2 linked regions of the Caenorhabditis elegans genome follow. The protein of the gene in region 1 interacts with the protein of each later gene in a pairwise test. Each region holds a gene or a part of one and is shown in the gene's direction. Other genes may lie near its edges.

Evidence for each region.
Region 2: the proteins of arf-1 (region 1) and kel-8 interact in a two-hybrid assay, tested with the Caenorhabditis elegans proteins (one study listed by BioGRID).

The regions. Positions count from the first base shown.
Region 1 is NC_003281.10:5,714,319-5,718,079, forward strand, and holds arf-1 (ADP-ribosylation factor 1-like 2), read left to right. Parts: upstream 1-1,796; 5' UTR 1,797-1,797; coding exon 1,798-1,945; intron 1,946-2,018; coding exon 2,019-2,129; intron 2,130-2,228; coding exon 2,229-2,437; intron 2,438-2,522; coding exon 2,523-2,600; 3' UTR 2,601-3,226; downstream 3,227-3,761. UniProt on the Caenorhabditis elegans protein: Small GTPase involved in protein trafficking between different compartments. Modulates vesicle budding and uncoating within the Golgi complex. In its GTP-bound form, triggers the recruitment of coatomer proteins to the Golgi membrane.
Region 2 is NC_003283.11:2,669,641-2,674,600, forward strand, and holds the start of kel-8 (BTB domain-containing protein), read left to right. Parts: upstream 1-1,823; coding exon 1,824-1,883; intron 1,884-3,345; exon of another isoform or gene 3,346-3,360; coding exon of another isoform or gene 3,361-3,407; intron 3,408-3,455; coding exon of another isoform or gene 3,456-3,936; intron 3,937-3,989; coding exon of another isoform or gene 3,990-4,152; intron 4,153-4,211; coding exon of another isoform or gene 4,212-4,333; exon of another isoform or gene 4,334-4,527; intron 4,528-4,960. Other genes in the region: W02G9.4 (CUB domain-containing protein), read left to right, coding at 187-340, 427-546; thum-1 (THUMP domain-containing protein), read left to right, coding at 3,361-3,407, 3,456-3,936, 3,990-4,152, 4,212-4,333. UniProt on the Caenorhabditis elegans protein: Substrate-specific adapter of a BCR (BTB-CUL3-RBX1) E3 ubiquitin ligase complex that regulates degradation of glutamate receptors in neurons. The BCR(kel-8) ubiquitin ligase complex mediates ubiquitination and subsequent degradation of rpy-1.

The DNA.
Region 1 (3,761 bases):
TTTCTATTGTATATCCATTATAATTTATCACATTTCCTCTCTTATCATTCTTTAATTGTCTTCAGTTTAACTGCCCATTTGGCAATACTTTTTCATCTTCATTTTTTATTGTTCTTGGCTAAGAACTTGTCATGTGATCTGTTCAGAATCGCAATGATTATTGATTTTTACCTGATTCCTTGACAAGTTCCCATTATTTTTTCGTTCATTTTTGTTGTTTGCATTATTTCTATCGATATATCTCATTGATGAAAAAGCCAGCAAAAAAGAGCAAAAGAGAGCAATAACTCCACTAAATGAGAAAAATAAAGTAAAAGAATACATAATGGCTGTGATCTCGAAAAAAAATCAGCGAAAGAATAAAAGACGGGCCACTGAAAAGTGAACGAGTACAAAAAGAGCCCCTCCCGAGTGACGAGTAAAAAACGAGTTAATTTTCAATAAAACACAGGTATTTTTGCGGAAACCGGTGTGTTTTCGTCGTATTTAGCCGTGAATTGCCAGAAAATAAATGATTTTAATTTTTTTTTTCTTTGTTCTTTCTTAACTTTATTCCTCCAATTTTTCTTGCTTCGACGTTGCAATCGTCACATTTTATCTTTGATTTGATCGTCATTTCATTTATTTCCGAATTTGAACGCAAAAAGCTCGAAAATCAAGGTTTGTGACTCCTAATAATTACTGCAGAAAGTAAGAAATTCTCGGCATTTTGAAAGGCGGAAAGATGAACTATCCTAGATTGGCGCAAAGGCATTGATCTATACTGTCTGCGGCGGCCGGTTTCTATTAAGCTTTCATTTTTCTCCAGCACATTCTTCAGAAGCGCCACATTGCTTTAGTCGGAAATGCGGGTCATCTATTTAGAAAGTTTGGCGCTTTGTATTTGATTTAATATTAATTTTCTCATCTGATTCTATTTATTAGTCACAGTATCTCGTGCTGCACTCTTGTGACACGTGTCCTTTTTTCAGAGTTTTTAATTGCGTCACGATTTTCAAAATTTCTCAACAATGCGCTCGCGTTCAATAGGTTTTTCTTCTCTCAAAAAGCATTTTTCATCACTTTCTTAATGTTGCAGTTTATCGTCTTATCACTCGAAAAAGTTTGTTTCAAAGTTCAAATTTTAGAACTTTCGGGTTCATTCAATCAATCAATCAAGATTTCACTGAAGGATTGAAAGATTCAACGTACGGCTGACGTGGAGTCAGTAGAAGGAACTCGAACATTACTATTCTCGTTCCTGTGTGTATGTGTTCTTCATCCTTCCGTCCTGCACTAGCGGACAAATTTGGACGGTCTCTTGTTCTTTTTCGCTCTCTCCTCATCTCTTGCGGTACTTTCACGTCTCGGTCTCTTCACTTATTGCCATCTATCTCCTCTTATTCGACCGCTGCGCAACGCACGCGACGCGCCCAGCGAACAAGACAAAAAGCAGCGTCGAGAGGTTGAGAGAGGAAGAGACACTCCACTGGTCGCCAGAGACTGCTGTGCTAGTGACACGTTGGACGGTGTAGCCGATGTATTTCTGCTGGATTCTCGCTCCTTGCGCCTGTTATAGATATCCATCTCCTTGCCACGTTTTACCCGATTCTTCCTCCTTCCAATCGTCTTCCGTACTTTTTTCTCCGATTGTCGTTGCTGGCATTTTCACGTATTGGATTTGAAATCTTCCCGAATTTTTCGCAATTTCCCACGAAGATTATTGATTCAGCTTTCACATTTTATTAGCGTTCCTTTTCACTTCCATCGGTTCCTCTTCTGAAATTCAATAATTTAATTTATTAATCAATTTATAGAATGGGAAACGTGTTCGGCAGCTTATTTAAAGGCCTCTTCGGCAAACGGGAGATGCGTATTCTGATGGTTGGATTGGATGCTGCCGGAAAGACTACGATTTTGTACAAGTTGAAGCTGGGCGAGATTGTCACGACTATCCCAACTATTGGTGAGTCATTGGGACGTTTTTTTGTTGCGAAAGAACGGTTCACAATGAGTCATAATTTTTATTCATATTTCAGGATTCAACGTGGAGACTGTCGAATACAAGAACATTTCATTCACCGTGTGGGATGTCGGAGGTCAGGACAAGATCCGTCCACTCTGGAGGCATTATTTCCAGAACACACAAGGTTAGTGATTTACGAGAATAGTTTGCGGATCAGCTTATCACCCGCAAGAATTCACAGACTGTCCAAAAAAAATGCTCTATTGATTATATTTTCTTGCAGGACTTATCTTTGTTGTTGATTCCAACGATCGTGAACGTGTTGGAGAGGCTCGTGAAGAGCTGATGCGTATGCTCGCCGAGGATGAGCTTCGTGATGCCGTTCTTCTGGTCTTCGCCAACAAACAAGATCTTCCACAAGCCATGAACGCCGCTGAGGTCACTGACAAGCTCGGGCTCCACTCGCTCAGAAATCGATCGTGGTATATTCAGGTGAGATATTTTTAATCAGCAGTTTCTCATCTGATATTTTAAAACTAAAGAAATTCACTATTTTTCAATAATAAATTAATTCCAGGCCACATGTGCGACATCAGGAGATGGTCTCTATGAAGGACTCGATTGGCTCAGCAACCAGCTCAAGAATAGATCTTAAATCATTTTTCTGAATCCACCTTCGACGAATAAACGACTACGAATCATCCGTTTTTGTTATTCGTTTCAACTCCTTTCTTCTCCCCATTCATTCTCTTTGTTCTTCTCTGTTCCATTTGAAATTCCCTCTCCCATCCCTTAGGCTTTTTAATTTGATCACCATCGCCCTCTTCTACTTTTTCAACCCAATTTTTATTTAAAGCCCCAATTCATTTGTCGTCTATTTCTTCTTAACTTCCAAATCCGACATTTTTTCTTATCCGATTACATTTGGAACCGCTCCTGACGGGAATAATATGTAAGTTATTCATTGTTTTTCTCTCCATTTTTGACCTGCTCCGCCCTCCATCTCCCTCAAATATTCCCTGAAACAGTGTTGTGTAACGAGAAGAAGTATGAACGTGTTTCTCTTCTCTTGTTGAACCATTATTCTATTTTTGTGATTTTTGCGCGTAATTGCACACAAACCTACACACAAATCTCGTTTTCATCGTTCCCTTCCCCTCGAACCTTTAATTTCGCTTCTCTTCTATTTCGTATCGAACACTGTTTTGCTTTTCCTCAATTTTTCCGTATTATAGTATCATATTCACCATTTTTTTTGTCGTGGAGTAAATTATTATGTTATATTCACCTGTTGATAATGACAATATGAAAGTATGAAAATGATCTTTTTCCTCAATTTGGACAAGAAATGTTAATTTTTAAGGGTAATTTATTAACACATGAGGCGTTATACTATGTGCAAAAATTTTTAATACGGAAAAACTAAATTCTGGAATTTCGTATTGTGCAACTTGTCTGGCGCACAGATATCACGTAGCGAAAAATACAGAAATTATTTACATTACTACTGTAGCCATGGTCTGATTTTGCTTTGTTCTTTTTCACTTTTTGACTCGGAATGACAGAAAAAAGAAAAATAGGATGAAATTCAAATATTTCGGTCACAATTCGAAAATAAATTATGTTCTAAAATCGAGCCCGTAAATCGACACAAGCGCAACAGTAGTCATTTAGAGAATTACTGTAGTTTTCGCTACGAGATATTTTGCGCGTCGAACATGTTGCTCAATGCGCATTCTCAGTGTTCACGTAATACACTGAAAATACAGTAATCCTACAGTGCTTCTAATGTACCCTGATACTATTCCCAGACGTA
Region 2 (4,960 bases), on another chromosome or scaffold:
GCCTAAACTACAGAAATTCTACAGTACCCGACCATATCCCCCACTGACCCTAAACCAATATCCCTTCAAAAGACAAAAACTCAAGTGTTCCTAAACTACAGTAATCCTACAATACTCCTACAGTACCCCGACCATATCCCCCACTGATCTTAATCCAAGGATACTATAAAATAACCATTTTTTCAGTTATTCCGGAAAGAATATGCCAGCTCCAATAACATCGACGAGCAACACTTTGTACCTGTGCTTCTCCTCAGACTTGGTCACCAATTTCTCGGGATTCTCCGGTCTGTATACCTCATTTGTCTCGAACAACTTCAAGCGCGGAGTACTACCACAGGTGAGAAAAGATCTAGGCCGGCTTGGAAGCAGGCAGGCATTTTTGTGCCTAGGTACCTAGGGCTTCACTAAAAACTAATCTTTCAGTCCCTGACAACGGATTCAGTGGCGATTCGTCGTGACAAGAACATTCTCGACTGGCTCAAAAAGAAGGCCGAGGAGAAGAAGCTTATTGGAGCTGCTGCAGCACCGGTTATCTCTATCTAGTAGTCCCCCGAAATTCTCAATATGTAATGAATTATTATTTCTTCGCAATTATTTTTTGCCGCTTACTGTATGAAAGTGAAAGGAAAATTAGAAAATTAGTGATGGGGGGGGGGGGGGGGTGATAAGAGAAATCTGGGTTGAAGGGGGAGGGGTAGGGCGATAAAAAGGGAAATTTTAGGAGGAAGAGAAGCTGGTTTTTAAAAAATAAAATTTTTGTTCTATGCCCGGACGCGGGAAAAATTTCACATTGATCTACAGTAGATCATCATCACGGGCTTCTAGTAGCGGTTTTTCGCGCTCCATTGAAAATCGGTGAGCGGAAATTGCAGTTCGGCAAAGGAAGGTTTCAAATTCGGCAATTTGCCATTTTGCCGATTTGCCGGAAATTTTGAATTCCGGCAAATTTCACGATTAGCCGGAAATTTTCAACTCCGGCAATTTGCCAGTTTGCCGATTTGCCGGAAATTTTCAATTCCGGCAACTCCCCGATTTGCCGGAAATTGTCAATTCCGGCGAGTTCCCGATTTGCCGGAAATTTTCTATTCCGCCAGTTTGCCGATGTGCAGGAAATTTTCAATTATGGCAATTTGCCGATTTGCCGGAAATTTTAAATTCCGGCAAATTTGCCAGTTTGTCCTAAATTGTCAATTCCGGCGATTTCTTGATTTGCCGGACATTTTCATTTCCGGTAATGTGCCAATTTGCCGAAAATTTTAAATTCCGGCATTTTGCCGATTTGCCGAAAATTTTCAATTCCGGCAAAAATCGACCCCAGCCGTGGCCGAGTCAAAATGGCCTGAATATAATCAAATGTGCTCCAACGCACCAGCCGACTGTGACGGACATTATTCAGGGCTTGACCTACAGAAATCGTTTGACCTACTGGCGCCTCATTATAAACTCATATGACGTCACAAATTTCAATAATTTCCCGCGCTTTCTGGAGGTCAAAGTGCCCATCCTCAACAAAACATCCCGTTCAGGGTCCTATCCCCAAGTCTCCAGACCCTAAAGCCTACAATCATAAAGCTTGTCACTAAATAATTGCCATGTTTTTGTCTGCCAATCAACTGACTGTCCCCCTCCTGCTGTGGTATATTCAGAAGATACCAGAAGCTGTAACAAAAGACGCAGGACGTACAAGACAGGTTGAGAGAGACACTGTGGGGGCGCAGACACACACAAAAAAATCAGGGGGCGGGAAGTGAATCGAGAGAGGAAGAAGCTGGCATCTAGAATACCAGACTGACAGGCGACACACACCACGAAAAAAAAACATGTGGACCTTCAACAGATCTACCGCGGAGGCGCCAACTATGCCGTCAAGCTCTAATACGGTAGGTGGTAACTATTTTACTTTTTCTGGAATTTCATTTTGTAAGCTACCACGGATTTCTGGCTTCCCTCTCATAAATTGAAATGGAAGAGTTTGCCAAACTAGGCCATTTTGGCTCGGCCATAAGTGGGGTAGATTTACGGCGCGTTGCGTGTCGCGTCGCGGCTCGATTTTAGTTGTAAAACTAAGTCTATTTGTCCGTGTGGAGTACACGATTTTAACACGCGTTGTCCGCCGGGCGATTGTCAATGGAGCGCGAAAAATTCTCTGAGGAAAGACAGAACCCCGTGATTTTGGCCTAAAAATCATTAAAACAGGAAAATTGCCGAAATAACGGGGTTCTACCCTTCCTCATTGAATTTTTTGCGCTCCATTGATAATCGTCCGAAGGAAAACGCGTGGGTAAATCGTGTACTCCACACGGACAAATGCATTTAGTTTTACAACTAAAATCGAGCCGCGGCGCGACACTCAACTCGCCGTAAATCTACCCCAGTAATGGCCGAGCCAAAATGGCCTAGTTTGGCAAACTCTTCCATTTCAATTTATGAGGGTAATCAGAAATTCGTCATTTTGGCCTAAAAACACCAATTTGGCCTAAAAACATTAAAACCACGGGAAATTTGAAACAGGAAAAAAATGGCAAAAAATTCTTGGAAACCGGCGAAATCGGCATAACTAATCCAAAACGTTCGAATGTACTATTTTGCCGCCAAACACCTAGCGGGTCATGGTGCGGGGGCCGAGAATTTCCTATTGGCAGTGGAGCGCGTTTCCACGTGGATTTTTCTGCGTACCCATAATAGCCGCGTCACACAGTTAGTCACCCAATTTACTACCTAATTGCATGGCCTTTGTGTCGGAACTCGTTTTTTTCGTAATGTCGCAACACATGGTACATAGATAAAAATCTCGAGATAACCTATAGTTCAGTTCAAATGTGAAGCAAATTTACTGGTGAATCGGGAAAAAACTGGTAAATTGTTCGGGATATATACTTATTATACATCAAAAATTGCTCGAAAAATTGTGAATTTCAGCTTTTTTTTCAGGAAATATATATTTTCTAGAAGAAGAATACCGGAAAAAGGTGCGGGTCATTTTGCACGCCATCACGAAATTTTCGCAAATTCCAGCGTTTCCGTCAAAATAGTAAATGTATATTCAAAATTTTTTCATCTAATTATCAAGTGAGGCTGCTCTTTTCAAGTTTCGCTGTAAAGAACCGCCTCTTTTTCGTAGTTTGTTTCACATAAAGTGGTGGTGACTCTGCAATTAAAGGTGTGCAAACGCGCTCTGTGGTTACGTGCAAGAGAGAAGAGATTTAGAGAAGTTGGAGGGAATATTAATTGTTTTTTTTTGTTTTTAATTGTTTTTATGTGTTTTTTTCGCATTTTTCGTTGATTTTTCGTTAAAAAACTTCAAAAACAATAATTTTCATTCAAAAATTTCAATTTTTCCAGAAAAAATCACTGAAAATGGCAGATAACGACAGAAAACGAAAGCATAACCGATGGAATCAAAAGTGAGAGCTAAAATTTGAGAAAAAAAAACTATTCTAAGACAATTTCAGAGTTAAACAAAAATCTGTGGAAGCCGGAGTGACCGGACTATTCTTTTCCTGCGAAGGCCACGAAAAGCAGGCCCTACAAGAAGCCTACAGTATTATTGACGAGCTTCTCGAAGACCCGGCGAATGGAATCTCTCTTAAAGCACCAGAAGCTGCTCCACAAGGCTCAGAAGCACCCGGAAATCCAGCAGAAGCTGAAGATTCCGATGAAGACATTGCCGATGCGTTGAAAAAGGCTTGTGATGATCAGAGGCAGCCGAAGCCGGGAAATTTCGTGAAAAAAGAGAGAAGATGCATTCAAAGACCGACGGGAGTGAAGAATTGCATTTTTGTGAGCGTGAAAAACGCGAATATTCAACTTTTAGCCGAAAAAATGGTCGAGCTGACGCAAAAAGCTCCGCGTTGCAGGTTTTTGCAACGAGTTTACCCGGTGGAGCATACTTTAGCTGTGGATCTTTCAAAAATGAATGAAGTTTTGATGAAGGTGCTTTTATTTAATTAAATTAATTAATAAAATAAAAAAAAGTAATTTTTCAGGTAATCTCCGACACATTGAAGGCAGACGGCACTGGCAAACTTCCCACGTATTCCGTGGAATTTAAAGCGAGAAATAACGATTCTGTGGCGAAGAATTCCGTGCTCCAAATGGTCGATGACGCCGTTTGTGCGCTGGCTCCGACTGCGAGAGTTAGCCTAAATCGTTAGTGTCTCTAAAAATCTGAAAAAATTTCAAAAAAATCAAAAAATCAATGATTCCAGACGCCGACGTCACATTCTTCGTTCAAGTATCTCGTACGACAATTATGGTTGGCGTGTGCCGGCAATTTTACGACCGCCGAAAGTATAGTCTTCGTGCGACGCCGGCAGCGGCAGCGACATAAGTCTCTTCTTCGACCTTTTTCCCCCTTTCACCCAGCGCCTCATTGGCTCAGTGGCAGAGCGTCTGTCTAGTAAACAGAAGGTCGCTGGTTCGATTCCAGCATGAGGCACCGAATTTTTTTTGTTTTTTTCATTTGTTCTGTTAAAATACTTTGGCTATTTATTTGTTAAAATACATGAAATTTGAGATTCGATTGTTAATTATTTTTTAAATGCATGGTATCTATAACTGTGACGTGTCAAAAACTCAGGTCGACCCTTGCTCGCGCGCGTCTCATGCACAACCGAGCAAGAAAAAAAACGTGCAACCAACCCGAAAATCTAGCTCACCCGTTCTGCGCACTCCCCAAAATCAACACTATTTCGCTCTCTCGCAGCTCTTCCAAATTGTCAAACAAACCGAGTAGTTACACGCACCCCCCGCCGAAACTCGGGAGCATTCAATCTGGCCTGGTTTTCCAGTATGCTGAAATTTTTTGGACTATTGTAAATTGTTTGTGAAAAAGGTCTCGCCACGAACGAAATATTTTTACAATAATCATTTGTGTGAAATGCTGTGCGTCTTTTTACCCGTTTATTGCAATTTTCACATGGTGTCAGGTTGTCCCATAACGGTTTGATCTACAAAA